Astyanax mexicanus: one gene and its partners. The main gene of each other region encodes a partner of the protein of the gene in region 4 in a complex. Links are inferred from orthologs where the notes say so. Each region holds a gene or a part of one and is shown on either strand. Other genes may lie near its edges. The genes, in order: pigc, pigq, dpm2 and piga.

The links.
Region 1: piga (region 4) and pigc share a complex: the UniProt entries of both Homo sapiens proteins name them as parts of the glycosylphosphatidylinositol-N-acetylglucosaminyltransferase (GPI-GnT) complex. The link is inferred for Astyanax mexicanus from reciprocal best matches to the Homo sapiens genes PIGA and PIGC.
Region 2: piga (region 4) and pigq share a complex: the UniProt entries of both Homo sapiens proteins name them as parts of the glycosylphosphatidylinositol-N-acetylglucosaminyltransferase (GPI-GnT) complex. The link is inferred for Astyanax mexicanus from reciprocal best matches to the Homo sapiens genes PIGA and PIGQ.
Region 3: piga (region 4) and dpm2 share a complex: the UniProt entries of both Homo sapiens proteins name them as parts of the glycosylphosphatidylinositol-N-acetylglucosaminyltransferase (GPI-GnT) complex. The link is inferred for Astyanax mexicanus from reciprocal best matches to the Homo sapiens genes PIGA and DPM2.

What each region holds. Positions count from the first base shown.
Region 1 is NC_064408.1:62,449,271-62,456,126, reverse strand, and holds pigc (phosphatidylinositol N-acetylglucosaminyltransferase subunit C), read right to left. Parts: upstream 3,012-6,856; 5' UTR 2,902-3,011; intron 1,280-2,901; 5' UTR 1,277-1,279; coding exon 398-1,276; 3' UTR 23-397; downstream 1-22. UniProt on the Homo sapiens protein: Part of the glycosylphosphatidylinositol-N-acetylglucosaminyltransferase (GPI-GnT) complex that catalyzes the transfer of N-acetylglucosamine from UDP-N-acetylglucosamine to phosphatidylinositol and participates in the first step of GPI biosynthesis.
Region 2 is NC_064426.1:4,414,448-4,421,899, reverse strand, and holds the start of pigq (phosphatidylinositol N-acetylglucosaminyltransferase subunit Q), read left to right. Parts: upstream 1-4,444; 5' UTR 4,445-4,622; intron 4,623-5,421; exon of another isoform or gene 5,422-6,003; intron 6,004-6,645; 5' UTR 6,646-6,688; coding exon 6,689-7,386; intron 7,387-7,452. UniProt on the Homo sapiens protein: Part of the glycosylphosphatidylinositol-N-acetylglucosaminyltransferase (GPI-GnT) complex that catalyzes the transfer of N-acetylglucosamine from UDP-N-acetylglucosamine to phosphatidylinositol and participates in the first step of GPI biosynthesis.
Region 3 is NC_064408.1:13,683,444-13,691,426, reverse strand, and holds the start of dpm2 (dolichol phosphate-mannose biosynthesis regulatory protein), read right to left. Parts: upstream 3,024-7,983; 5' UTR 3,015-3,023; coding exon of another isoform or gene 3,012-3,014; 5' UTR 3,000-3,011; coding exon 2,964-2,999; intron 1,972-2,963; coding exon 1,882-1,971; intron 1,137-1,881; coding exon 1,034-1,136; intron 336-1,033; coding exon 280-335; 3' UTR 1-279. UniProt on the Homo sapiens protein: Regulates the biosynthesis of dolichol phosphate-mannose. Regulatory subunit of the dolichol-phosphate mannose (DPM) synthase complex; essential for the ER localization and stable expression of DPM1.
Region 4 is NC_064418.1:1,992,291-1,999,273, reverse strand, and holds the start of piga (phosphatidylinositol N-acetylglucosaminyltransferase subunit A), read right to left. Parts: upstream 3,018-6,983; 5' UTR 2,817-3,017; intron 1,615-2,816; 5' UTR 1,596-1,614; coding exon 1,275-1,595; intron 273-1,274; coding exon 1-272. UniProt on the Homo sapiens protein: Catalytic subunit of the glycosylphosphatidylinositol-N-acetylglucosaminyltransferase (GPI-GnT) complex that catalyzes the transfer of N-acetylglucosamine from UDP-N-acetylglucosamine to phosphatidylinositol and participates in the first step of GPI biosynthesis.

The DNA of each region.
Region 1 (6,856 bases), on a different chromosome or scaffold from region 4:
AAAACATTTCAGAAACTTTACATTAGTATGACAAAGTGTTTTAATTCATAAAAGCACAAAAATTTTGTTTACCATCATATTTTTTTTCATGACTTATTACACATCAAATAAATAACTATAACAAAATGTAATCATTTTACCAGGTATTTTAGTAAGAGTTAAATATTTTAAAAATACTGTTCATGATTATGTGCACGTTGTTTACAGTTTTAGACATTTAGCAGATGGAGTCTTAAAAAAGGAGTGGTCAGTGTAGGCACAAGTTTTCCCTGAGCCTTTATGTTAAAGTGCTGAACATCTGATATAAGCAGCTGTCATAGCCCTCAACACTCACCAGTGTACAGTTAACAATTTTTCAGTATAAAAGAGGTCCATAGTACTATTACATGTGTTTGTGTTAGCTTAAAAATCGTGAGAGGTCCTCTCTGATCTCTGCTTCATCCCACGGGCCGTGGATGTTGTCTTTGTGTCTCTGAAGATGCACGAGCAGCATCGGACAGGCTAAAGTTAGCACTAGCAGAGCTAAAAGAAGGAGAAGAGCTCCTCCTGGCCAAAGGCTTGCCAAACCTCCGACCCCAGCTGTGCACACCAGGCCTGCAGCCAGGGGAAAGCTCCACTCAGCCCGGTCCCTGAGGCGATGGAGCAGGCAGGGCCACAGAGCAAACACCAGGAGGGCACAGCTCAGCATGGCGAAGGTGTGCAGGGCCCCAGGCAGCCGTGAGGCCAAACACACAGAGCCAAACAGCGCTGCGTTCAGGGACAGACTGCCTGGGGGGCTGGGCTGTGTGTACGGGAAGGACACCAGGTGGGCCAGCAGCATCATGGATGACATGGCATAAACAGTGTCTGTGCTCACGGATTCAGTCAACGTCTTCAGCACAGGAGAAAAGCCATAGGTAAAGGCCAAGAAGATGGCTGCGCTCTGCAGGTCTGCCATGCGTGTACGCTCTCCACTGCCTCCTCCCAAAGCCTCATAGAGCCCATAACCCAGAAGTGCACACCCAAGACTGGCCCAGAGCAGGGTGGAGGGTCCCAGGTCTCCTTGATCCATGTAGAACCATAATGTGAGAAAAACGGCTACACAGGAGACCTGCTGAGCGACCAGGCCTGCTTCCTGCACCACAGCCCAGTAGCGGTACTGGTGGACACCGATGTTGCGCTGCAGTTCCTCCAAGAAGCGGCGGTCCACATAGTTGTCAGGGTAGGGCTGACGCTCATACAGCACTTTACGCCACGGGACTGCTGGGGGAGCACCCGGACCACTGTCTGCGCCCATCGCCTGCAAAATGACATATGGATTATGAAGCTATAATACACCATGTGAATTTACTAGAAAACATAGACCCTGTTTTCACCTGGTGACCTCAAATGACTATGGCTAGATTACATCCAACTAAAAAGTTTACGCAGCAATTATTACTTGTGTTTTGGTTATATTGGGAGGAGTTTTATTTGTCTTGGAGAGAATATTACACTTCAATGCATCTTGAAACACCTCAAGTGATTTGAGTAATCAGATTTTTTTTCTCTGATTTGGTGAGTTTACACTTTCCTTTTTAAGGTGACTTATACAGTCATACAGTACTTTAGCAGCTTGATAAATAGAAAGAATAGGTTAAAACTCAAAATGTCTACTCAGAATTCTCTAATTGAGTCGAAATGTTTGAACACACTTTTCATTTTGATGTAATGAGACAGCTTTCATTGATCTACCAATTCTGATATTTTTAAAAGCCGTCTCATTTATGTAAAAAGAGGAATTCATGAATTTAGCATGGACTAGTAAATTTGTATACAGCCTTTGTATTAACATTAAATAGCCAGATTGTACAGTGAAATTTAAAATGAATCAAGTGTGACAACAAAAGTAGTTTATATCCTACACATTTTTATTCTAATCATTTCCTTCTGAATCAAAAAGACAGAGCATAGAAAAATCATAGAAAAAACATTTTTATCCTTCATTTTGGGGAGGGCAACTTAAAAAAAAACAGCAATATAGACACTTCTGTATCAATCCACAGATCAGTAACTGAAAAAAATAATCAATTGTGGCATGTTATTTAGTAAAAAATCTAGTTTTACAAATATTAAGATAATATTAAGACTAGTCAGAACATAAATAATAAGAAATAATGATAAAAATGTCTGAAATGCATACTTGTATTACTCCAAATTACATAAAGGATATATCATCCTGGTAGTAAGTCTGGTCAGAATGTATTTATAGTTCTGTATATAGGATATTGTTACTAGTAAACATTTTAGAGTTAATATCCGAAATGAGAGTTTCTACTAGTAAAATTTCAGAGATCTGTCCTTTTAGTTCCAGTGCTTCACTCTGAGTTCAGACATGTATCACCATCAGTCATTACAATACTCAACAGCAAACCTTCGGTTTTTATGTGTGTAGTTCTATTTCGGATAAAAAAAAACATAATAATAGTAGTGCTGAACCTGTAAATACAAATCCGCTTTAATCATAACGGTACAGAATGACAGTCAAGAGGAGCAGTGATGAAAAGAAAAGAGCTGGAGGAGGAACAACAGCTACAGGAAGAGGGTGGAGACATTACTGACAGTCTGACTGTCTACTGACTCAAGAGTTCAGCCTTTTCCCTGTGTTCAGGGGCTAATTAACACATTTAAATACTGAAAACCACTAAAAAGAATCCTCCTCGTCCCGTTGTTCAGTGTTTTAAAGGAGTCAGACTCAGTACATAACCGGTTCTGCACTCTGTATCTCTCACTGTGTCTGAGCGTGTCCTCACACAGCGGACAGGCTGGCACAGCTCTCTTTTTCTCTCTCTCTGTGTTCAGGCAGTAGTTACACAGTTACACAGAGGTGTGAGCACTGCTGTAAGGAGATAAACTGTATAAACTGAGGTATTAAACTCGTACCGGATCAGCTGCTTCCTCCTCGCTGCTCACATCTCGCCATTGGATCTGCCGGATGTGACGAAAGCTGAAAACACCAGAGCGGACTGACCGGGCGGGCGGGGTTGCGCCCCCTGCTGGAGGAGTACACACAAGTAGTGAACAAGGTGAGAAAACTGATTATATCCAGAGAAGGGCTTTGTTAAACCAAAATGAGATTTTGATATGTCTATAACTGCCAAAGGGACTGACAGGAACGTTGTATCGCTGTAAAATTAGACTTAACACATTTCAACACTGAGAATAAAAAAAAATAAATCAATAGCATGGTTTACAGAGATCTTTTACACGGGGAGAGAGAAAAAAGAGCACATTAAAAAATGATTAATTAAAATACTCATCATATTTCTAAAGCGTCCCAAGGATATTTATCTTTACCCCTCCTTTTTTAATTGACACTTTATTTGTTTAAAAACAGCCTGTGCAGGTATTTGTGTTTGTTTTATTACAATCAAATACCTTGTCTCACAAATCTTACTATTTGTCACACATACAATTCACCAATATAATTCTTGTAACTTTTTTGACACATTGTCCTTAAAAATGACATACATCATAGATTTCTCATATAACTCCAACTTCACACCAAGCTCTCTCATGTTTTCCCAGACTTCTTGACCCTCACATTAGGACTCCCTATCTCTGTAAATGCTCCCAAACACCAGTCGAGTGAAAACTAGCATCTGCGTCTTCTGAAACATGTGAAGTCACACACTACCTCTTTACTAACCGCCACTGATGCAGAATCAATAGGTAGTCAGAACACTCAGAGGAAAGTGCAGCGACTCAGCTCTGATACACCAGCTTACAAACGCCCGTGCTGACCAACATTACACTATCCCAGAGACTTTTTTATGGTCATAAATTGACAATTTTTTGACTGCCTGAAACAACACATTCTGTCAATCCCAGAAATGCACAACTCCAGGCCTGGAGGGTCAATTTCCAGCAAAGTTTGGTAGCATCTTAAAAGGTGAATCTTAAAAAAATTTGAATATCATTGAAAAGTTACTGTATTTTAGTAATTCAGTAAAAAATGTGAAACTTACATATTACAGATAATATGACTCTCCAAACCGTCACTGATCATCAGTAAATTTTACATTTTATTTGTAAAGCAAGGGAGCAGAGTCTGGAGGAAGAGTGGAGAGACACAGTCCAAGCTGCTTGAGGACTAGTGTAAGTTTCCACAATTAGTGATGGTTTGGGGAGTCATGTGATCTGCTGGTGTTGATCCACTGTGTTTTATTATCAAGTCTAAAGTCAGTGCAGCGTTTTCGTACAAAATCTTACAGCACTTCATTCTTCCCTCTGCTGACAACTTTTATAGAGTACCAGTTGAGTCACTGATTTTTGGGTTTTCATTGGCTATAAGACATAATCATCAACAATAAAAGCTTAAAATAGATCACTTTGTGTGTAAAACATCTATATAATATATGAGTTTTACATTTTAAACTGAATTACTGTATATACAGTACACTATCTAGTAGTTGTGGAATAGGAGGCACATTATAAAAGTATCTTTTTCTAATGGAAAGAGCAGAAGAGCCCCAATAGATGGGCACTCAGTAAGACACATTTTTAAAATGTTTTAATATGGAGAGCACATCATATCAATTTATTGCAAAAAGACATTTTTTCATAAAAATATTTCTCAAAAGAAATAGGTAATGTAGCTATATATATATATATATACATATTTACAGTTTACCTTTTTAATACAATTGTATTGGTAGAGAAATAGAAATGGCTAATGCTAATACAACATAACATGACTTCTTTGTGCTTTTAAAGCACATCTCAGATATGCATGCAGATACTGGTAAGCCTACATATCTGCAAGTCACTGTCTAGGAAACAACACAGACACAGGATACAGCCTTGTTTGGCAACAATTATTCAAGTGCACTATTATCTTTTTTAAGCAACAGAACAGTGTTTCTCTTCTCCCCGCACACCCGATTCTGTTAATGAGTTAATTTTGAGTTACGTCTTTTCAGAGTGACTGTGGGTTTGTAAAGGCAAGGAATTCCCTAAAATGTGCTAGGCAGGGTGCCCCAGCACCAGGATTGAAAACACTAAACATCATATTGCGGTCTATCATATTTCTAGTCTTAAAGATTTTAATAGTGTTTACCCAAGTTTATATCACACTGTAGGTGGTCTTATTAGCTAAAAATAAAGAGATAGCGAAACACTTAAAAACAATTTTGTTTTAAAAACACAATGCCTTTACCATCTAGTGCAACTTTGGCACATTTCTCTTTTTTAATCCTGTTTTTGAAAAAGTTGTGCCCCTAGAAACGAACAGCCATATGCCAAGCACTTGATCGGCTTAGTGCCTGGACCAGCCCAACACAAGCCCCTAATCCATAGTGTTAAGAATAGCCAGTCAGGATCTCTACTGTCTCCAAAGGTAACCTTGACCCTGGCCAAAATGCATGTTACTATAAATAGTTCAATTAGGACAAAGTTATTTAAAAAAGTTAAAATGGCTCATTCTATCAACATTCTAGGCAAGTTAAGTGCATTTTTAAATTTGTTTTTACATTTTAAAAGGGGGTTTAGGCACCCCAACAGAGTTACGCTTTCAGATCAATTTTTTACCAAGGTCTTTTAATAACTTGTTAAAAACTATAGCTTGGTTCCAGTCATAACATTTCACAACTTTCTAAATACCCTGACATCTCAAAATCTTGTCTTAACAATCAGTTTTTTGCAATCATAATGTAAATAAGATGTGACAGTGTTTTTTTGTAATCATAATGTAAATAAGATATGACAGTTATCAGAAATAGTGCAGCTAATGTTGAGGACTGAAAAACATAACATTTCTAAGAGAACTGCTTGTGGAATTTAAGAAAAGGCAAGCAAATCTGAAAGGCTCTTTTCCTGCTAAAGATCATCAAAATATCTAGTCCCTGGAGTGATAGTGCTCTGTTCTACTGTTCAGCAATTCCTAGTTCAAATATAGCCTTCATGCATATGACTTCATGAGTTACCAGGAGAAACCTCTTCCCAAATTTCCCAAAGATTTTTTTTCAGGAACTACCTAATGAAGCTTGATATGTTTTAGTGAGCAGAATAGAACTCCTTGGCTGCAGAAACCAAAGGTACATTTTGTGCTTGAATTGAAAATAAGCATTATGAAAGTGTTCATTAGAAATTGTGACACAATCATGTCATCCTGGACCCAAACATAATAGCACAACAGTCCTGTGTTTTAAAGCAAGACAATAGAAAAATTGGCATTTCTTGCCTTTGTGCTCCTACTTTCAGGAATTCCTTCTTTGCACAAGAGCTAAAGAACAGGTTTTTCTTGCCGAACTGAGAGATACAGAACCAGGATATTGCAGGATTTGACACAATTATGACTCAAGTTATATAGTGTTCTGGCCACTTCACCAAAGTTACATAGTGCAGGTATCAGCATCAGGAGCAATGCTAGATAAATGATTCACCAGAATGATTTTGAAGCTGTTATTTTAAGGTTGAATGCTACACAATGCTGCATTTATTAAAAAGTACATTAGCTAAAAACAATGGTAGTGGTTAATTTAACCTTTCATGCAGTACACTGATAACTGATTATAAGCTTATATTACTTGTTAGCTACACTGGCCTGACATTACAATGCAAAAGGCAGCAACATTATGGCATCAAAAGTTTTGGCTGATCATTTTTTGTATTTGGGCTAAACTAAATATAATGACAACATACATGACAAAACCAAACCGAACCATAAAACTGCACAGAATACAAGTAAAGAAGAACACGACGAGTAGTATAAATAAACCTTTATGGGTTTCAATACAGCGACCAAACGTTATTGGCACAAGTTCCGAATGGAAAACAAAAATAAACAATTGGCACATATGCAGGGGATGGACTGTTCCAGTGCATTTCTCTGATGTAG
Region 2 (7,452 bases), on a different chromosome or scaffold from region 4:
GACAACAAAAAATTCTACACATGATTTAAAATAGAAAAAAAACATTATATAGTTTATTTGCTTATTTTAACATATTGAAATGAAAAATAGAAATGAATAAATGTTGTGTGTGCAGAATTGATGGTCAACTGAGTATGTTAGGTTTTATATTTTTCTGTTATATTTATCATTCATTACATGTGCCAAGTTTGTTTTGAGGATATAATTATGTATATATTATTTATTTTCTAGTAGATACTTCACTATGTATAAACTACTATATAATATGTAGTATATAATATATTTATATCTAGTATATGCTCCACTTTATATAAATTACTATTTAATATACATGCAGCTCTGAAAAAAAAATGAGTTTCTTTGATTTTAACAAATTGAAAACCTCTGGAATATAATCAAGAGGAAGATGGATGATCACAAGCCATCAAACCAAACTGAACTGTTTGAATTTTTGCACCAGGAGTAAAGCAGCATAAAGTTATCCAAAAGCAGTGTGTAAGACTGGTGGAGGAGAACACGATGCCAAGATGCATAAAAACTGTGATTAAAACCAGGGTTATTCCACCAAATATTGATTTCTGAACTATTAAAACTTAATGAATATGAACTTGTTTTCTTTGCATTATTTGAGGTCTGAAAGTTCTGCATCTTTTTTGTTGTGACAATATTTTTTCTTTTGGAATTTGTGAGAAATGTTGTCTGTAGTTTATAGAATAAAACAGCAATGTTAATTTTACTCAAACATAAACCTATAAATAGCAAAATCAGAGAAACTGATTCAAAAACTGAAATGGATTCTTCATTTTTTCCAGAGCTGTATATTATTTTATATTTTTTCTAATGTACATTTTAATATACTGTATGTAAACTACTAAATAAAAGTCAGTATATAATATACATTATTTATTTTAACATATATTCAACTATATAATATACAGTATATATAAAAATGCGCATGCTCAGTAAGACGGCTGTTCTGATAAGTATCTCTCTGACATTCAGAGGGATTCTCACAAGTCACGTGATCTGTAGTGGCTTCATCCTGAAACCACAACACAGCGTGTGTAAACACACAGTGTGTGTGTGTGTGTGTGTGTGGTATGTGTGTATTTTCCTCTAACACGTCTTGCTGCTTGGAAACAGTCCCATCACTTTCAGTTCACCTCACTGCTCACCTGCATTATCTCTTTCCTGCTAAGAATCAGCTTTGGAGGAAACGGCTGCTGCTGATCAGTATGAGCTTTATTAATGATTCAGAACTGGCCTGGATTCCAGGTTATCGATACAGTTACTGAGTACTGTAGGAAGATCCGGGAGAATTTAGTCTGATTGGTCTGAATCAGTCATTCAGGATGTGCAGGAGGTTTGTATATTTACAGTAAAATACATTATACACTTTCTATTATATAGTATATTCTATGAATAGTGATGACTGTAGAAGTGTATTCGGTGCTTCCCTATTGAATATTGTTTTAGGGTCAGAATACTCTTTATTTTGGGCCTCAAAAGATAAAAACAATTTGATTTTATTACTATTAATTAATTTTTTTAATTTTCTAAAACTTTACACTAGACAAGAAATTACATTTTTCCACATAAATCACTTTATATTTTCACTTTAGTTTTTTCCTTTCATGCACCTTTCACACTTCTTTGGTTGACCATGGCGAAGCCTGTTCTGCTTAATGCTTCAAAAATGCTTCAAAAGTGAAGAACGAATGCAAATTGACTTTATTAATTTCTATACTGAAAATAAACAACAAGACTATATAAAAAACTATATACTACAAAACTCCTAACAAAAAACAGAACAGATAACAGAGGATCAAACAAGTAAAGGAATAAATATGTCCCAGTTTTATACAAAGAGCACACATTATAACCCATTATCAAAGAAAATGGGGTATAAATACACAGACAAGGAACACCTGGAGTAGATAACAAGTGGGCTGAGTTACAAATGAGATTAATTTAGTTATTTTTATAAAAATATAAAAATAACACTGCTTAGGGAGTAGTGAGTAACAGTTTATCACTACACAGGAAGCTGACAGTAAAGTTTTCCCATCAGTCGTCACGTGACTTTGGGTTTAAACAGCTGCGGCGTTAAATCCATGAAATCATCACGTTTATTATGGCTGCAGTTGATGAGCAGTGCTGTCAATGTGACACACTTTTACATGTCTTTTATATGATGAAGCTGCAGAGCATTTAGAATAATGGGATTTATAGGACATACAGTACTGTGCAAAAGTTTTAGGCACCTGTGGGAATTTCAGGGAAAAAAGCTTCTTATCTGTGCAGTAAGTGTTTATTAGCTTAGTAAAACACATTATGGCCTTACAATAAATACAAACAGCAATTTTACAAAATTTTATTTGTGTTTTAAACTTGAATTGAAACTGAAACTACATGTATTATGTAGTTCCAAAGCCAAATAGTCACGAGTTGAAGTAAAAAGAAAATACTAATTTTATTTTACTTTAAACTTTAGGGCAACTTTTAAACTTTTTGAAAAAGTTGTAAAGTGAATAACTATTTTTGAGTAGTGTTCTAATCCAGATTATGGCAAGACCTACTCAAGTAAGTAAAGAAAAATCTAAAGAACATTAAAAGTGCACTACAAAGACTATTAAAAGCATTATGATGAAACTGGCACTCATCAGGACTGCTCCAGAAAAGGAAGATCAAGAGTTTTCTCTGTTCATCAGAGTTACCAGTCTCAGAAACCACAAGTTAACAGCTCCCGAAATAAGAGAACTGTTTAAGACTTTTAAGTTACTACATGATTCCTTATGTGTTCCTTCACAGTTTGGATTAGTTCTGTATTCACTTACAATGTAGGAAAAAACATTGAAAAAGATGTCCACACTTTTGATTGGGACTGTATATTTATATTAAAATATATAACATATAAAAAAATATAATAATTTAAGAAAAATGAACTCTGTTGTCCTTACACACATTCACACATGATAATGACCTGAAACAGATGGGTAATATCAGTGTTTGGCACACAGTGGCTCAACTCTTCACAATTCCTATTAAATACTGCCACCTACTGGACAACTACAATACATATATTTAATAAAAAGGAAAAACTGTTAAGAGATGCTCTTATCTGTGCAGTCCAGCAGCTGTTTAAACTGTATAACTGAGGCAGGGTGAGTTAACTGAATCACCACGCCTGGACACAAGCTGATAATATCAGTGCTTATTATGTAGAAACAGTCTGCTGACACTGCATTAAACACTGAATAGGATTTTACAGACACTAATAAATCCTATTCATGTCCAGTTTTACAGGCTGATCTGCATATTAAAAAATGTATTAATTAAATTAGACACACAAATAAAGACTTAGTTCTTAATAATAATAAATGACATTAAATAAAACTTAACAAAAACAGGCTTAAGTGTGGGCAAACATAATTAAATTAAGAATATATATATATATATATATATATATATATATATAGCTCTGGAAAAAAAGGGACCATTTAAAACTTATGAGTGGCATAAAGTTATCCAAAAGCAGTGTGTAAGACTGGTGGAGGAGAACAAACCGAGATACATGAAACTGTGGGTGTGAAAAACCAGGGTTATTCCACCAAATATGATTTCTGAACTTTCTTTTTGCAATATTAAAGATCTGAAAGCTCTACAACTTTTTTTGTTATTTCAGCCTTTTCTCATTTTCTGCAAATAAATGCTCTAAATGAGAATATTTTTATTTGGAATTTGGGAGAAATGTTGTCTGTAATTTATAGAATAAAACAACAATGTTTATTTTACTCAAACATAAATCAAAATCAGAGAAACTGATTCAGACACTTAAGTGGTCTCTTATTTTTTCCAGAGCTGTATATGATTTTATTATTATATTAAGGGTAGTTGCTGTGGTATACCAGGTGGTTAATAGGGTTGTTGCTGTGGTATACCAGGTGGTTGCTAGTGTACTTGCTGTGGTATTTCAGGTGGTTGACAAGGTGTTGTAAAAAAGTATCTCAGGTGGAAGCTAGCATGTTATCAAGTGGATGCTATGGTACCCCGTGTGATTTGTGGTTGTTTGGGTGTTACTAATGTACTGAGGTCAGTGTGACACACCCTTTATTTCTATGGTTAAAAAAAAAAGTAAAATAATGAAAAACTAAGTATGCAAGGCCAAACTGCACAGACAAAACAGTCTGGGGCTGAAATGACGTTAAGATGCTATAAATACAAGAAAGAAGAAGGATATAAATTGGATATTAATATATTTGCCATAATAAATTAATAAATTAAGAAAAATACATTTTTATCTGCTTTTAAAAATGCTACCTGAAGCTGCAGGTCATTTTGTTTTGGGGGAGGGAGGTGAAATCTCCACAGTTGGACAGTGTTTACAGTAAAAACAGCTTCACCTCAAGCTCAGTCAACTCAAAGAAGGCTAAAAAACTCACACACACCAACCGTACTTAGCCATGCCTCTAACTTACTAACTAACTCACTAACTGAACCCAGTTCCCTCCAAAATGTGTGGTGTTATCTTTCTGAAGGTTGTTATCAGCTCAAATAGGCAGTTCTGTCTGTGAGGAGATCCTGAAGAGCTGAAACACTGGAGTTCTACACTGAAAATAAAGGTAAGTAGAAAATAACAACAAAACTGTTTAATTTTGCTTATGTGATAGTTTACTAGGGTAACATAGTTAAAATAATGAGAAAATTGTTTCATAGCTAAAATTGAAGGTTATATAGTATTTATTGTTATTGAAATGTATTAAGGGAATTTACAAGACAAGAAAACCTGTTAGTTATATAGTAGTTTTTGCTTAACTGTGGTAAAAATAAAATAAAAAAAAATTAAAATACAACTCAGTTGGATCTGTTTTCAATTAGTTTTACTATTTACTTAATTGTTTTTCAGTTCATATTAAATATACACACTATATATGCTGCATTTTAGTTTTGTGCAAAATTTGTGAATTTTGGTTGGAACATTTGTTTCTACTGAATATTTATAAATATTGATATACACATATTAGTTTAATTGTTATATTATATTCTTGAAATATTATTTTTTATATTCAATTATTTTTTGTTTAAAAAACAAGAATCTCGTTATTGCAAAAACACCCTGAAATATTGTTATACTCTTTAAATTTTTAATAATTTAGCTATATGCTAAATGCTTTTTTTTAGTCTTTAAAAATAATTTCATGCACCTGGATTTGCCATTAACTCCTAATAAATAAACACAAAAAATTTAAACCTAGTAATTTATCTACATTGATTTGTCCTACAATAGCGTAGCAAAACATATATTCGTGTCAATATCTAATTCTATTTCAAGTTGTGATCCAAATCTATCTATTTTATTTATTAAATTATAATTCAAGCGAGTAATTATTTGGTCGGAACGAATTATCTAAGCTTCAGTGTTTGAGCCCGGTGGGTTAATGCGGGGGGTCCGTCGGTGGCTGTGACTTTAGCTAAGATAGCTAGCCTAGTGTGTTTCTGTTTATTTAGAGTATAAAACTTGTATTTATGGTGCAAATAACGATGCGTGCTTAAACATCTGTGTTTAGGGGTTTGGAACAGGGGGGTGGTGAACCAGAGGAGTGGTTGGGAGAGCTGAATAATGCGGATTAAAGTGGGTGTAAACAGGCTAAGCTAACGAGCTGGGGTTTAGCTGTAGCTGTAATATGGGGATTTTGGCTGGTTGTTGCTGCTGCTGAGGGCTGTGTGTGGTGTTATAGAGGCTGTAGTGAGATATTAATGTGTTATAAATGACCCCCCTGTAGTTTATAGCTTATAGTAAGCTGTGTGAGGCTGGTAGCTGGCTGTGTGTGAGGCTGTTAGCTGGCTGTGTGTGTGTGTGGTGCTGAATGTGGGTCAGTGGTGCCTGAGGCTCTGTGTGTATCTGAGCTGCTGAGGGTCGATATTCTGTATGAAGGGCAAAAGCACAGCAGCTGGACTGAGCTTCATCTAGTCCACAGCTCTGGGAGTTTCACCACAAGCTGGGTAAGTGTGTGTGCATCTGTTTTTGTCTAAAATAACAGGATATATACAATAAGTAACTCTATTCTTTACTATAAAAACTAAATTTCTAGATATTTGCAATATTTGTAATGCATCTTTTCTTCTAGACTAAATTTTCACAAACCATAATCTAGTTTTTACTTGTAAACTCAAACTAAAAGTTTCGTGATCTCTGTAATGGAAAAAAAGTAAATTATCTGGGGTTGATGCTGCAGTTGGTCTGCAGGTCTAGGTTCAGCAACAGTATGTGCTGAAGGAATAAGGTCAGCTGACTACCTGAATATACTGAATATAGACCAGGTTATTCCATCAACGGATTTATTTTTTCTTCCCTGATGAGCACGGCCATATTCCAAGATAACAATGCCAGGATACACGGTGCTGGAATTGTGAAAGAGTGCAGAGTTCAGGGAGCATGAGATCATCATTTTCACACATGGATTGATGTTTACTAGGGAATTTAGTTAATTATTGTAGGGTTTTTTTTTTACCTCCTGAATCTTCTGAATTTCTTCTCAGTTAAGGTGAAAGTTTTTTCTCTCTTTTATACTATTGAGAAGTGTAGCATCCTTAACTATCCTTTACTTCTAATAAATCTTTGAATTTTGTGTGTCTGATTGACAGGAGTTCTCATTTTTCCTCCCGGAGGTATTTTGAAGGATCAGCCATGGTGCTGAAGATCTTTTTCCCCAAGTGCTGCAACACTGCGGACAGTGGTCTGCTGGTGGGCCGCTGGATTCCGGGCCAGGACTCGGCTGTTGTTCTTGCCGTGATCCATTACCCCTTCATACCGGGCCAGGTGAAGAAGTATCTGACTCAGATGAGGAGCCAGACCAAGGTGGACCTGACCGTTCTGGGTTCGTGGAGCATGCCCAAAGATGGCCAGGAGGGGATGGACAGCTTCTTGAAGGACCTCAGCACCATCTTCCCTCATTCCCGCTGGCTTCAGCTGAGCCGTGAGAGCGGGAAGAGGGCCTTCACCTGCCGGGTGGTGCAGGAGAATGGGAAACCCGCGGCTAAAAAGGACGGTGATGATAATGATGATGATGATGATGATAAAGATAAAATCATCTTCGTTCATTACGATCAGAGGAAGGTCATGCTGTCGCAGCTCCATCCTGTACAGGAACAGAAAGGCTCTGAGGAAGAGTCTACAGAACTGAGGACCATGTTTCAGACTGTGGCTCAGAGCGAGCCCCTGTTTTTTCACGATATGTACGACGAGGGGCCGCTGAAACTCACGCACTGGCAGTCGGAGGGCAGGGAGGCCAGCATCATCGTGGAGCTGGTGAAGCAAGCCTCCGTCCCAGTCTGCATAGTTCTCACCTGGCTGCTGTCTGTGTGGCACTGGCTGTGTAGCTTCAGGTGAGCCTGGTTTAAAGTGTAGATTTTAGAGGTGTAATGACAATTTTTTCAGGTAACTACTTGATA
Region 3 (7,983 bases), on a different chromosome or scaffold from region 4:
TTCCGCATATAAACTAATCGTTACATGGTCTGTCCTGTGGCTGAGGTTGCTGTGGTCACTGGGTTTTCAATGCTAGGGTATGGTGTCCTGTTGTTTATAGAGATGCAGTGTTGCCAGGGCCCTCTTACAAATCACTGGTGATTTCATCAGCCTCTTACATACTGCTGCACAGCCTGCTGGGAGGAGTCTATAGGAACGATCAGCAAGCTTCAGAGAAGAGCTGGGTTTAAATTTAATGTCCAGTCTTGGGCAGCTGAGAGATTTCATCACTGGACAACCTCAGTCCACTTTCTTTGGTTTACGATTCTTCCACGTTACTACTCCTATGAAGGTGCCTGTGGATAAAAATAAATGGAATAAAATCCACTGAAAAAGCAAATACTGGCAATTATGTCAAATAAAAAAACATTTATTGTGCATCCCTAACTACGATTATTCTAGCAATTAACCAACTATTTATATTAGTATTATTTTTAAACAAATAAGCTTAACATTTAAAGGGCTTTACAAGTTGGTAAACAACAATGAATTAGGATTAGAAACAAACACTTCATAGTAAAAAAAGACAGGAAGATACATTTAGATAAATAACACTTAACAGTGAATGGATTTTTCAATGTAAAACATAAAAATACATTAATGAAATTAAAAAGAATGAGAATCAAATCTGATTACTAAATGATGGTTTTAAATTAAGTTTAAAATTAATTGTGTTGTAGTTTTTGATGAAAACTTTTGCAAAAGAGAAGTTTAAAAAACAGTATTTATTTGTAGCACCAAAAAGAAGTAGTCTTTTTGCTCAGGTGCAATTAAAAATGTTTACATGCACATAATAATCAAATAATAATATGATAACTTGCTATTAAGAAAATAATTGATAAATAAATCAACGTGTTTACAATCCCTGCAAGAACCTAATAATGAGAAAACTCAAGAGTCTATTTTTGATTTATTATTTATTACAAGAAAACATTTTTATTGTGTAATTAAACTTTTAATTTATCTATAAAGAAATGTATTTTTCTTTACTTACCGACACAGAGTAAAAGAATCAGTGCTGCTACTCCTGGAAGTATGACCGAGTACTCACGAGGAAGAAAGTAACTGTGGATCACATGATCACTGTCTACGAATGGCTGCAGAGAGAGCAGAAGAGATCTGGTTAGTTTTTATGTTGTGACAGATGTCTGTTTGTATCATTATTTGGGTTCAGGATCATTCATTCTTAGTACTGCAGTAAAACTGGCATGGTGGTGGTGTATGAGGTGTTTGTGTGTGTTGTGCTGGTACGAGTGGATCAAAAACAGTTGTGCTGCTGGAGTTTTTAAACATCGCAGTGTCAATGCTGAACTCAGAATAATGATGACCAACACAAACTGTGCAGCAAGAGATTCAGAGCTTCTGTCTCTGACTTTACTTTAATTTATCTACGAGGTTGAGGAGCTACAGTAGGTAGGAGTGTCTAATAGAGTGGAGGACAGTGAGTGAAGAACAGTGTTTAAAAACTCCAGCAGCATTGCTAGGTCTGATCCATACACACAAAATAAGTGGACCTATCGCAGCAATTTTCGAAGGAAATCACTGCAGTCAGTGCGGAATCATAATACTTTGATAAATATACAGGTACAGTGCTGTTTTGTGCCATATTGCCCATCCCTACTCTAATTTCAGGGATGTAGCTACGTCATATATTTTTCAGGCATTAGGGAACACCTACTAAAATGAGTGAGACTCACTGAACTTCCATTATTAGTGGGTCCCCTGCTACTCTCTGCTACTTCTTCCACTAAGCACAATTTCTAATCAGTACCCGTTACTTTCACTTTAGTACAGTTTCTGTGTTAGAACTGAGAGAAGGTAGATAGGATTTGTTTTACTTACCAGCACTATAACCCATAGGGTGTAATATGTGAACAATAATAGACTGAAGCCAACGAGACCCAAACCCACAGCTTGGTCTGCTCCGGTCGCCTTTTCAGAGGAAAAGAGAAGTTTTAATCAACACTAATCAACAGTTACCCTAAATACAGGTAGTTTCATCCTTAGGCTGAAGCATTAAATGCTGTAAGATTTCGTGGGAAAACACTGCACTGACTTTGGACTTTATAATAAAACACAGTGGATCAACACCAGCAGATGACACGTCTCTCCAAACCATCACTGATTGGTGGAAACTTCACACTAGACCTCAAGCAGTTTGGACTGTGTGTCTCTCCACTCTTCCTCCAGACTCTGCTCCTTTGATTTACAAATGAAATGTAAAATTTACTGATGATCAGTGATGGTTTGGAAAGACATGTCATCTGCTGGTGTTGATCCACTGTGTTTTATTATCAAGTCTAAAGTCAGTGCAGTTTTGTTTTCCCAGAAAATCTTACAGCGCTTCATGCTTCCCTCTGCTGACAACTTTTATAGAGATGAGGATTTTATTTTCCAGCAGGACTTGGCACACTGCCCACACTGTAGCCAAAAGTAAGCCATAATCATCAACAATAAAATAAATAAACAATTAAAATAAATCACTCTGTGTTTAATACATCTATATAATATATGAGTTTCACATTCTTAACTGAATTACTGAAATAAAGTAACTTATTTTTAATGATATTCTATTTTTTTAGATGCACTAGTCAGTCAATGATCCTGCTTGTATACCTCAGAATGAGGGGCATAAACACACAAGCATGAGCTCAGTATATCGCAGTACACTAATATACATATCTCATACACTAATAAAAGGTTTATTTTCCAATTAAACGATATTTAAACCAACAATAACTAAAAAAAACAGATAAACACAGTCTAACAGTTATTTAGCTAAAGCTAGCTAACGCTAACTGAGCTCTCAGTGAACTTAATCGGCCCTAAAACTAATTTAAACCTATTTTTAAACGATTTAAAGGCCAGGAAGCGCAAATATATGACCAATTATCATGAATAACTTCATATAATAAATATATTACACTATAATAACAGGATAATCTTCTACAAATCTTCATCTTTCAGCTTACCATCACGAACTCGTCACTCTGCAACGCGTTCTTCCGTTTGCGTCAGGCGTTTTCGGTGTACGTATAACAGGCATTATGGGAAATGTAGTTTATTTGAAATGAGATTTGAAATGACAAAAATACGCCCTCACCACGAGAGGGAGACAACACCGACCCATCGCAATACATCACTGTTCACCTAATACACTTAAACGATTACACTTAAAATACACTTAAACTATTACATTTACAGTACAACAGTACTGCTGTTCTTTTTTCTATTGAGTTTAATTTGAACTAAAGTGCTTTTTTATTTTCTCTTCTTATCAATGTCTTTTTACTGCATTTCTTTGCCTGTCAGACCCTTAATTCTTCTCCTCACTGCTGAAACCGAGACTTAGTCCAATGTCAAGATGAGCTAAAATCGTTGCCATGTGGGTCAGCCAGACCTTTTCCTGTACCAGACTTTTTTCCAGTTTCCAAGAGTCTTTTGAAGGTGTAGGAAACGGTACTCACCGTTGTCATCTGTAATTTCTGTGTGTTCTGTTTCTTTTTCTAGTTATTATGATAAAAATGTGAATGTGCTGAGTGTAAGTGTGTAAATGCTGCAGTACAGAGTACAGTAACACCATATGTTCCAGCACTGCTTTACTTCAGACAAAAGGCTTTGGAAATTGATATTTAAAAAAAAAAAATTAAGCTCAGGTAATTTTCATTGCTACTTACTTAGTTGTAAGCTGTTAACCAATGATTTGTTTGCTAAAAGTCACCCCTGCTATATATATATATATATATATATATATATATATATATATATATATATATATATATATATATATATATATATATGCATTTTTTCCTGTTTTTATCATAAATATATAGGCTCTGACCGTTTACTGCAAAATTTTGTACACTAGAAGGCAGAAAAGAGCCGCCCCTACCTGAAGCTCAATCGACCTACAGCTGATCATGCATTGTAAGCAACAGATCTCGCTTTGATGAGCTTGAATCTACATCATACATTCAATATATATTTCTCAGAAATTCACATTCACAAAAAAAAAAATTAAGACACACTTCAATAACGCTGAAGTGATATTCCAGTTGTATGGAGGGATAGTAAAAAAAAGACACAACAGTGATTTTAGGATGCCCCACATTTGCTTTATTTCCCCAAAAATATGACATTAATACACCTCCAAATACACATTTACATTACAGAATACGAAACATTCATATTTGAGTGTAGAAATATAGTTTAGATCCATCATGAGACATACAGTCATACACCAAATAAAACCGAATGTGAGGTCAAGAAAACTTTGGAAATTATTTGTGTGATCATAAAATAGAAATATTCAAATAATTCTTTATATAATCAGAAAAATAAACTCATCACTTTTGTGGTAAAGTTAAATATAGATACTGCGTTTTCATAGAAATCTGTAATCTTTCAATATATCGATCATTTGTTAATTGTAACCAGTATAGTGGTCAAAAAATGGAGTCTTTCTGTCTGACCCAAGTGCATAGCGTTTGAATCTTTTACAAAATGAGAGAGAAAGAAGACAAACAGCATTAGTTGTGGAGGATTTAGCAGGTTTTTGTTTCTTTAAAGTTAGTATTTAAGTGCCGTTGTGGTGAAAGATATCTTTATTCGTTGGCCGATGATTCTACTCTGGAGATCACAGTGTAGTTTAACATTACGTGTAGAATTAATACTCTCAATCAAAAATGCTGAAAACACACCACGTTAGAGGAGAATTCCTCAGAAACAACGTAAATCAGAGTGAATTACACAATGGCCTTCAAGCGTTCTTACTCTTTTATAATGTAAGATGTAGCAAATCACACAAATACCCCTTATTCCCCCTCATTCGTCCCAATACTCAGTACTTGTCTTCCCACAACAGCATCTTAAATCACGTTTACAGAACGACGTTTGTGAGTGAAAAGAAAGATCAGTCACAGGTTACAGTCCATCACGACTGATACAAGAGGCTCATTTTTTTTTGTAATACAGGAAAATAAAACAAGACAAATAAAATAACAACATTAGCCTCTTTAAGTAGCAAATACATTGATCATTTTCATGCTGTCACAAAGTTTATTAAACATTAAAGACTTACCAGAGAGCGATCTGATAAGAAACAAACACTGTATGTGGAGAAAGTCTAAAATAAACCAGCCTGCTGGTTTGGAAATCCCAAAAAACAGGACAGTGTTAGCGTTAGCATTAGCGATAGCATTAGCATATCGCTCATATTGTTAGCAAGGAGGGCAGTACGAAGAAAGATAGTGAACAGACTGTCTGTCAGAGCACAGACAACAAGAAAGGGTGTGATTATTTTAAATAAAGTCTTTTGATTTAGATTCCCTTGATACTAGTGTAGTAGCCTAAAAACTACAAAAGAAAAAAAAACCTTGTTCACTCAGTGTTCACCCAGATAAGACACTAATTCGATAAATGCAAGCTTAGTGAGATAATAATGTAAGGCAGAGTGAGGCACAATCTAACTCAGGGTAAACTGTAAAATGGATTTTTATGTAGATGAACACATTTAAGCAGAACATTTACTTTTTAGTCTTATTGAATTTCATAATAATGTAATTTGTGAATTAGCTTTAGTACCATAATAGTAGTGTATATTGTGTATTCATACTAATCCCTCAGTTTGGGGGTTACGGTTGGTTACACACACTTGTCTCATGGAGAGTAATTTATTCATTTAAGCTGTAAGCATGGTATTGTTGGTATTGTAGTGGTTTAGGAAGTGTGCTACAGTAACTGTAGTCTTGTTTGCCTCTCTCTCTCTCTCTCTCTCTCTCTCTGCTGTGTAAAAAGAGAGCAACCTACAGTTGTGGTCAAAAGTTTACATACACTTGTAAAAAAACATAATGTTATGGCTGTCTTGAGTTTTCAATAAGTTCTACAACTCTTATTTTTCTGTGATAGAGTGATCGGAACACATACATGTTTGTCACAAAAAACAGTCATAAAATTTGGTTCTTTCATAAATTTATTATGGGTCTGCTGAAAATGTCACCAAATCTGCTGGGTCAAAAATATACATACAGCAACATTAGTATTTGGTTACATGTCCCTTGGCCATTTTCACGGCAACTAGGCGCTTTTGGTAGCCATCCACAAGCTCCTGGCAAGCTTCAGGTCGAATGTTTGACCACTCTTCTTGACAGAATTGGTGCAGTTCAGCTAAATGTGATGGTTTTCTTGCATGAACCCGTTTCTTTAGCACTGTCCACATGTTCTCAATGGGGTTTAAGTCAGGACTTTGGGAAGGCCATTCTAAAACCTTAATTCTAGCCTGGTTTAGCCATTCCTTTACCACTTTTGATGTGTGTTTTGGGTCATTGTCTTGTTGGAACACCCAACTGCGCCCAAGACCCAACCTTCGGGCTGATGGTTTTAAGTTTTCCTGCAGAATTTGGAGGTAATCCTCCTTCTTCATTATCCCATTTACTTTCTGCAAAGAACCAGTTCCACTGGCAGCAAAACATCCCCAGAGCATAATACTACCACCACCATGCTTGACAGTAGGCATGGTGTTCCTGGGATTAAAGGCCTCACCTTTTCTCCTCCAAACATATTGCTGGGTGTTGTGGCCAAACAGCTCAATTTTTGTTTCGTCTGACCAGAGAACTTTCCTCCAGAAGGTTTTATCTTTGTCCATGTGATCAGCAGCAAACTTCAGCCGAGTCTTAAGGTGCCTTTTCTGGAGCAAGGGCTTCTTTCTTGCACGGCAGCCTCTCAGTCCATGGCGATGTAAAACACGCTTGACTGTGGAGACTGACACCTGTGTTCCATCAGCTTCCAAATCCTTGCAGACCTGCTTCTTGGTGATTCTTGGTTGACTCTTGACCATCCTGACCAATCTCCTCTCGGCAGCATGTGATAGCTTGCGTTTTCTTCCTGATCGTGGCAGTGACACAACTGTTCCATGCACTTTATACTTGCGTATAATTGTCTGCACAGTTGCTCTTGGGACCTGTAGCTGCTTTGAAATGGCTCCAAGTGACTTCCCTGACTTGTTCAAGTCAATAATTCGCTTTTTCAGATCCACACTGAGTTCCTTTGACTTTCCCATTGTAGCTTTTGTAGCTGAGTCTAATCACTGGGTCAAATGAGCCCTATTTAAATGGGCTCATGAGAAGTCAACAGCTGTAGTCAATCAGAATCACTTACAAGAAGTGAAGAGGCCATGACATGAAGCTAATTTGATTGACACAACTCGCTACATCACCAAAATTGACAAATTTTGTTGCTGTATGTATATTTTTGACCCAGCAGATTTGGTGACATTTTCAGCAGACCCATAATAAATTTATGAAAGAACCAAATTTTATGACTGTTTTTTGTGACAAACATGTATGTGTTCCGATCACTCTATCACAGAAAAATAAGAGTTGTAGAACTTATTGAAAACTCAAGACAGCCATAACATTATGTTTTTTTACAAGTGTATGTAAACTTTTGACCACAACTGTATATGCTACTTTTTTAAATCACTCTTTACCTTTATCACTTACTGTTCTCAGCTTTGGATTTTTAAAATTATTGAAAATAAACAAGATATTCTGGCTTTAACATCTAAGTTCAGCTTGTGGTGGTATGCTATAGTTTAAGTTTTACACACTTTACTGCCGAATTAATACAATACAGGCTGTATTATCTAACTCAACAAGGTATCATATGGAACTAGGTTAACTAAATGTACCCTAAAAATCTGTGTGTTCAAATTAAATGAAAATAAATGTTGGTTATTCTTTACTTTTTGTCTTTTTTTCCCTTGTTAGATTCTTGTACTTTTAACAAACCTTAAGGTCCAAACTGTAGTGCATTACATCCCCAATACCAATAATTTTTTTTTATGCTGTGCCCCACTCTCCCATATTAATTTATTATAACAAATAACAGAATTACAGGCACCCTTTGCTTTAAAAGGAAAAACGACAATACTTCGTTTTAGTCTTA
Region 4 (6,983 bases):
TACGACACACACACGATGTGATTGGTGTCACACAGCGTTACAGTCAGCAGTTTGTTGGTTAGCACTGAGCTCAGATCAGCGAACCCGAAGAGCGAGTGATCAGTGAACACCGTGTTGAGGCCCATGGTCTTGGCGTGGAACAAAGCATCATGGGCCATGGCCGAGAAGGAGCTGTGGGCGTGTACCACAGTGATGTGCTCGCGTACGAACACACACCTGAGCAGAGGTAAGCTGTGGAAGCAGGAGGTGGCTGTGGACTGGTTATACATCACCTACAGAAAAGAGAGAAACAGAGGACAGTCACTTTCATTTTAGGGTTTTTTTTTATCCTTAAAAGAAAATAAATTCACCTTAACATATTCACACACATTTCTTACACACACTATATATGGCCAAAAGACAAAAAAAAAAAAACAACAACTATGGAGTGAATTTAGTGTCAAACGTTTTACGCAAAAAATTAAATTCGCAATAAAAATTTGAGAATCAAAAGAAAAAAGAAAAAAAAGTGTATGTTGCAAATTCAAAAAATAAAAAAAATTAGCAAATATATATTTTTTTAAATATACTTGGTTACTTAATTATTCTTTGCACTTATTTTCACTTATATTTAAGTTTGGATTTTGCCAGTCTTTGCTCTTATTTTTTATGTTTTTGTGGATTTTCTGCGGATTTTACCCTTGAATCTCCATTGGTTGGTCTCAGACTAGGGTATAGAGTCCAAAATCAGATGACCAATGGAGATTCAAGGGTAACGCCTTCTTCTAAGCCCCGCCCACCCGTGAAAACTGTGCCTAATCTAAAAAAAAGAAATGCAGAAAATGAAGCAGAAGCAAAAGAGAGATTCCAGGATAAAAAGTCTTTAGCAGCAGTATATTTTAGCAGCAACTATATTTAAAAATATATATTTGCTATATTCTTTTTTTTTGCATTAAACTTTTGGCACAAAATTCACTTCATTAAATACCTGCTTATTCATTTCTCCTTTCAAAAAATCAAATTAATATGGGAGGTTTTATACCCCTCTACCCCTTACCTGAAATAAGGAATAGTGATAATAGCATTATATTTGTCTAGAAGAGTCGTATTTAATTGGCAATGCTTCACTACTAAAGGGATTAGATAAACTGTGAGTTTGTACATCTCTGTCAAAAATAGGTGCAATTTAAAGTATCAGGATGCATTCTTTAGAGTGGGTGACATATATTATATATATATATTGTACAATATAAATACTAATATGTCCTCAGCTTCACTGAAGCTCAGCCACACACCTGCAGTGGGAGGTAATAGACCTTCAGGCCGTTGGTGAGGTAGCGAACTCCACGCCGGTCTCCGTACGCATGCGTAGCGATCACCACCTTGTGCCCCCTCTCTAAGAGACACTGTGAGAGCTGGTAGATGTGGCTCTCGACTCCGCCCATGTTGGGGTAGAAGAAGTCAGACACCATACAGATACTGTGCTTCTTCTGGGAGGAACGTCTGGCCGTGCCGGAGGGCAGCAGACTGGCAGGACTGTGTGGGGCGGGAGGATGAGCGTCAGGCTGGCAGGAAGCAGCCGCCTGTTTATCTCCTCTTCTTCTTCTTGACTTCATGTTCACATCCAGTTTAGACCTACAAAAAAAAAAAAATGGCGATAATTTAAGCAAGGCGATACACTGTGATTGATTAAATACATTTATTTAATGCATCGTAGTTCAAAAAACGACCTATTATATTTATAAAATCTAAAAAAAAAAAAAAGTTTATTTTTTTAGTCCAATAAAAACAGTGGGATCTAATGAGTAAAAAAAATCTCAATATTTCAATATATCAATTGTTTTATACACCTCTAATAATTAAATATTAAAATATGTACTGTCATTTACTCATTTAATTTTCTCTACTCAATCTGTAGTTCAGAACACTGGATATTAATTGGATAGTAATTGAGAGTAATTGATACTCATGATATCCTTTGCAAAAATATATACATAGTAAATCTGACTTTAATCCGGTAGCAATGTCAAACGTGGCTTTTGTGTGACAGTGAAAAATATAGTATTACAAATTGCAATACTTTGAAAAATTGGAAATATTTGCATTTAAGAATACATAACTATATACTTTAACATGCTTAAATGTCATTTAAAAAAGCACAGTTGTGTTGACTACATTTCTTGAATGTTTTAAAAATATATACTAATTGCATCCTGTTACTACACTACTAAACTAGATACACCGATCAAATATAACATTATGGCCATCTCTTTGTTTCTACACCTATGATATTTATATTTTTTTTTATATATTATTCACCAATACCAGAATGATAAGATTTTTTAACATAATATAAAAGTTTACTTAAAAAACGCTATAGGCTGTAAATATTGCATAGTCGTTTAGACTTATTCATTTAACTTTAGCTTTTTAGCATATTCTCCTCCACCAGTCTTACACACTGCTTTTGGAGAACTTTATGTCACTTGTGCAAAAAATCAGTTTGTAATATATTATATCATTTATATAACAGTAATTTTGAATCAGAAGATGAAATACCTGTTTATTGTAAATCCATATAGAGTTAATCCTGTCAGTCAGATTTCCTGTTTCTGTAATATAGCTTTACTTAACCCCCCAAATCAAACAGGAATAACTATTATATTCATATTCATACAACTGAACTCCGGGTGAAAAGAATATTATAAATTAAAATGTATGTAAAGAGTGAGTTTTATAGTTTAATCAATAGGTTAATATTAAGATTTACAGAGTAAGTTAGAGTTAGCTGTGTTGAGCTAACAGCTCGATGGCTATGATATGTATAATATAAATACCTGCAGTCAGACTCCGGCAGCTAAACAGTTGATATCACAGCCTCTGTGTGAAAGTTTAATAAAGTACAGCTTCATATCTACCTGTTTTATTAAGAGACAGACTGAAATAACTACATATTTCTGTTATAAATCACAGAACTCTTGAGTTAGCACATCTGCTACTGAGCCAGTACACAGTCTTCTTCGACTGCTGCCGGTCTCCAGCAGCACAAAACTGCACACCGCCACCTACCGACCGCACTGAGCTACCACTGCCCATAGACATCATATACAAAGACCACGCGTTGATTGGCCGCCATATTGGATGGGTCATTCATGCGCCCCAGAAAAATAATTTTCTCACTAAGGAAAGTGTTTTTCCCGATTTCCACACGGTTTGATTTGTTACAAACAGCAGAGATGTAGCAATGATACAGGACGCTGTATAAACGAATTCATTTAATATTTTAATGAAGAAACACGTTTTATATAGTTAATGTGTGTATATACGTATATATAAATATAAAATTAATTATTTATACACTTGTTAATATGCCATATCACATGTATACAGAGTTGCGATTATTATAGTTGTATTAAACACCTTCCTCAGTGTAAATTAATGCACTGGGTCGCGTGGTTGACTCCTCCAATATGGCGGCCACGCTACACGCCAGGAGGAGGGTACGGCGCGAGACCGGGCTCCAGCTCTCGTATGTCATAATAAAGGTCCTCCGTAATTAAAAGGCTCGTGGATGTCATAAAATTTAAATTATAATAAAATGTCATCTTAAAAATGAAGAAAGTTACCTACCGACTTGTTTAGTATATTCCTTTAATAGAATATATGAGGTATTTCCCTAAAAACGCAAAGAAAACTTACCTGTATGTCTTCAGTAAATGAGTTAGCTAGGTAGTAAAATAAAATCTAAAATTTAAAAAAAGTAGGAGACATTTGAGAGTTCAGCATTGGTAAACATTTTATTGCACAAAGTTTACAATTCCCCTTTACAGTATATTTAAACTCTGTAAACAGTGTTGAGCAGTGTCTCGCCAGCATATAAAGGGTGAAAACAAGCCTCGATTAAAACCTGTACGCCTTTAAACAGAATATCAGATGAGTTTCTACTTCAGCAGTTTGTGCACGGTTAGTGTTCATATAAAACTACATCTATACACTGTAATTCGTTCTTCAAAGCACAGAGCAGCATTAAATACAGTGGATCAGCCAGGAACTGTGAGAACATATCAAAAATACATTTTAAATACAGCGTGTTCAATCTCCAGACTCATCGTTTTATCCGTGAATTCAGGTGCATCCATTACCAGGGTTAAAATATTTATAAATACTGTTCTCATCATGATCATGATGAATGCCATAACTCTTTTACTTTACATCAAACATTCTTTCCAGATAAACTGTAACAAATATGTTTACATTAGAAGTTGTTCTTTCATATGTTTGCCTTTGGAGTCTCCTGATAAAAAATTATTTGTGCTAACAAGATCATGTGTTTTTAATGACATTGTGGATTGTGCTGGTCATTTATCATTAAAAGTTACTCATAAATCCAGACATCTGCACTGTGAAAAAATGTACCCTACATTTAAGGACATTGTCTAATTTAACAGTAGAGAACTAACTTTAGTAGTGTCCAGATTGCCTGCACTGAAGGCACAGGTCTCTTAAACAAAGACCACATGCATTCAGGGGCATTTAATATATGTATATGTTTATATAGCTACATATATAAACTAGTGTGGTAGAGTGGTACAGTATTTGGCAAACACACAAGGAAGCTCAGAAGATTAAAGCTTTAGCTTCAGTACTTTAGCGTCAGTTCTATCAGGGAGAATCACACTGGAAGTGGAGATCTGTGCAAGCGCAGCAGCCAGAACAAGCTTAAAAAATGAAGAAATGATCACTGCCTTTTCCTGTTCTTGCTGCAAATGAAAATGTTAAAATTACGCAAATTATCAACAGAGGTTCCACCATGTAAGACGACCCAATACCACGTCCTTAACCACACCTTTACCCACTCTCTCTTTACTCAATACAGTTAAATTCAAGTTTTTATCCAATAAAAATAACACTTTCTAAACATTTTGAGCTACAGGTGCAAAAAAAGGATGCACACTCAAGTCCGACGTAAACAACTTTCATCCTTAAATCTCCATTTCAATGCAAAGATGAACACAGAAAAATAAAGAAAACACATGGTACAGTTCAGTTTTTCAGTATGTCTGTGCTTCATGTTGATATTGCTGTATTGTGTAATAGAACTTGGGGAAATAGTGAAACGTCAGGTGTTTTTACAGGCTCATTTCCCCTCATTTCACCTTCATCTTCTCCAGTCGTTTGGTTAAGTGGCTGTTACTCGACTTCAACTCCTCAATCTTATCCAGAGCAGACCGGAGCTGTCGTTTACAAAAAAAGGTACAGCAACATATTAGTGTCTTTTAGAAATTAGAATTTATTTCAGCAGTACTGATCTAGTCACACATACCTCAACAGTGCAATTTTAGGAATAGATTTACCTCAGTAGTGCTATTCTAATCATACATTTAGTGCTACTCATGGGAGTGAAATTTATTCAGAGAAAGGCAGCCAGACTTTTTTTCTTTTGCCATTTTCAGCTTTTTCTTTTATTATGTATTTGGTGCATGCACAGCCATTATGGTAACATTAGGGTACTTGTGTTTTCAGTTTCTGAGTTTTGGCACAGTTTTCACAGGTGGGCAGAGTTTAAAAGAAAGCGTTCCCCTTGAATCTTCATTGGTAGGTCTCAGACAAGGGTTCAGGTACCAGTCAGTCCAAAATCAGGTAACCAATGAAAATTCAAGGGAAACGCCTTCTTCTAAGCCCCACCCACCCGTAAAAACTGTGCCAAAACTCAAGAATAAAAAAATGAAGCAGAAGCAAACGAGATTACAGAAGTAAAAGTCTTTATCAGCAAAATCAACAGAAAATCCACAAAAATTAGGTACAGACTGTCAAAATTCAAACTGAAATAATTTATAAAATAACTGCAAGAGAGAACTTTTGATTTTACCAAATTAAAAACCTCTGGAATATAATCAAAAGGAAGATGGATGATCACAAGCCATCAAACCACCAAACTGAACTGCTTGAATTTTTTGCACCAGGAGTAAAGCAGCATAAAGTTATCCAAAAGCAGTGTGTAAGACTGGTGGAGGAGAACATGATGCCAAGATGCATGAAAAAAAAAACTGTGATTAAAAACCAGGGTTATTCCAGCAAATATTGATTTCTGAACTCTTAAAACTTTATGAATATGAACTTGTTGTTTTCTTTGCATTATTTGAGGTCTGAAAGCTCTGCATCTTTTTCATTATTTCTTTGTTATTTCAGCCATTTCTCATTTTCTACAGATAATACAATATTTGTATTTGGAATTTCCATCATGACAAATAAACATACTCAAGTAAAAAAAAAAATCCTCCATCATACCTCTCTCTGCAGTTTGCGTTTCTCAGCTTTAAGCTCGTCCTCCACTTTCTCTGCGTTCTCTGCTGCAGATTTGTATCGAGAGACCTGTCCTTCCAGTCTTGTGGCCTGATATTAGAGATTTTAGAGAGATTTTAACATTTAACTCTATTTAAGCGCTTTAGCACAAATAAACATTGAGAAAATTGAGAGGAAGTTCTTACATTCTGTTCCAGAGCTGTGACTTCCTGTTCAGACTTCACTAGCTTAAATTTCAGATCAGTGATCTGCCTGTTGGCTTCTCCTGCAAAAGAACACAATTCATTAATGATAACTTATCAATGATCAATGTATAGATAACAAAAAGCCTTTACAGTGTTAATTTACAAGTTTAAATACTTTGTAAATCCATGACGTTATTGTCTGTGCCGTTTTCCATCGTCTCTCCCTCGAGCCTGGAGACATCCTCTGTGTCCAGCACCATTTTTTTCTGTTCAAGTTGTCCTTTAAGTCTCTTCACCTGAACAAAAAGACATTTTTACCACTATTAATATTATTTTTATTATTACTACTTGTTCTTTAATTCATTGTTATGCTATAAACTACATATCGTCGCTGTCCAATAATAAGAATAATCTTCATTTTTGTCCATTTTTTTAGTTTACTACATAATTTGAACAGAGAAACAGCCCTTTACACTGTGCCAAAATTTCTTGATGAACGGACCAATAGAAATACTT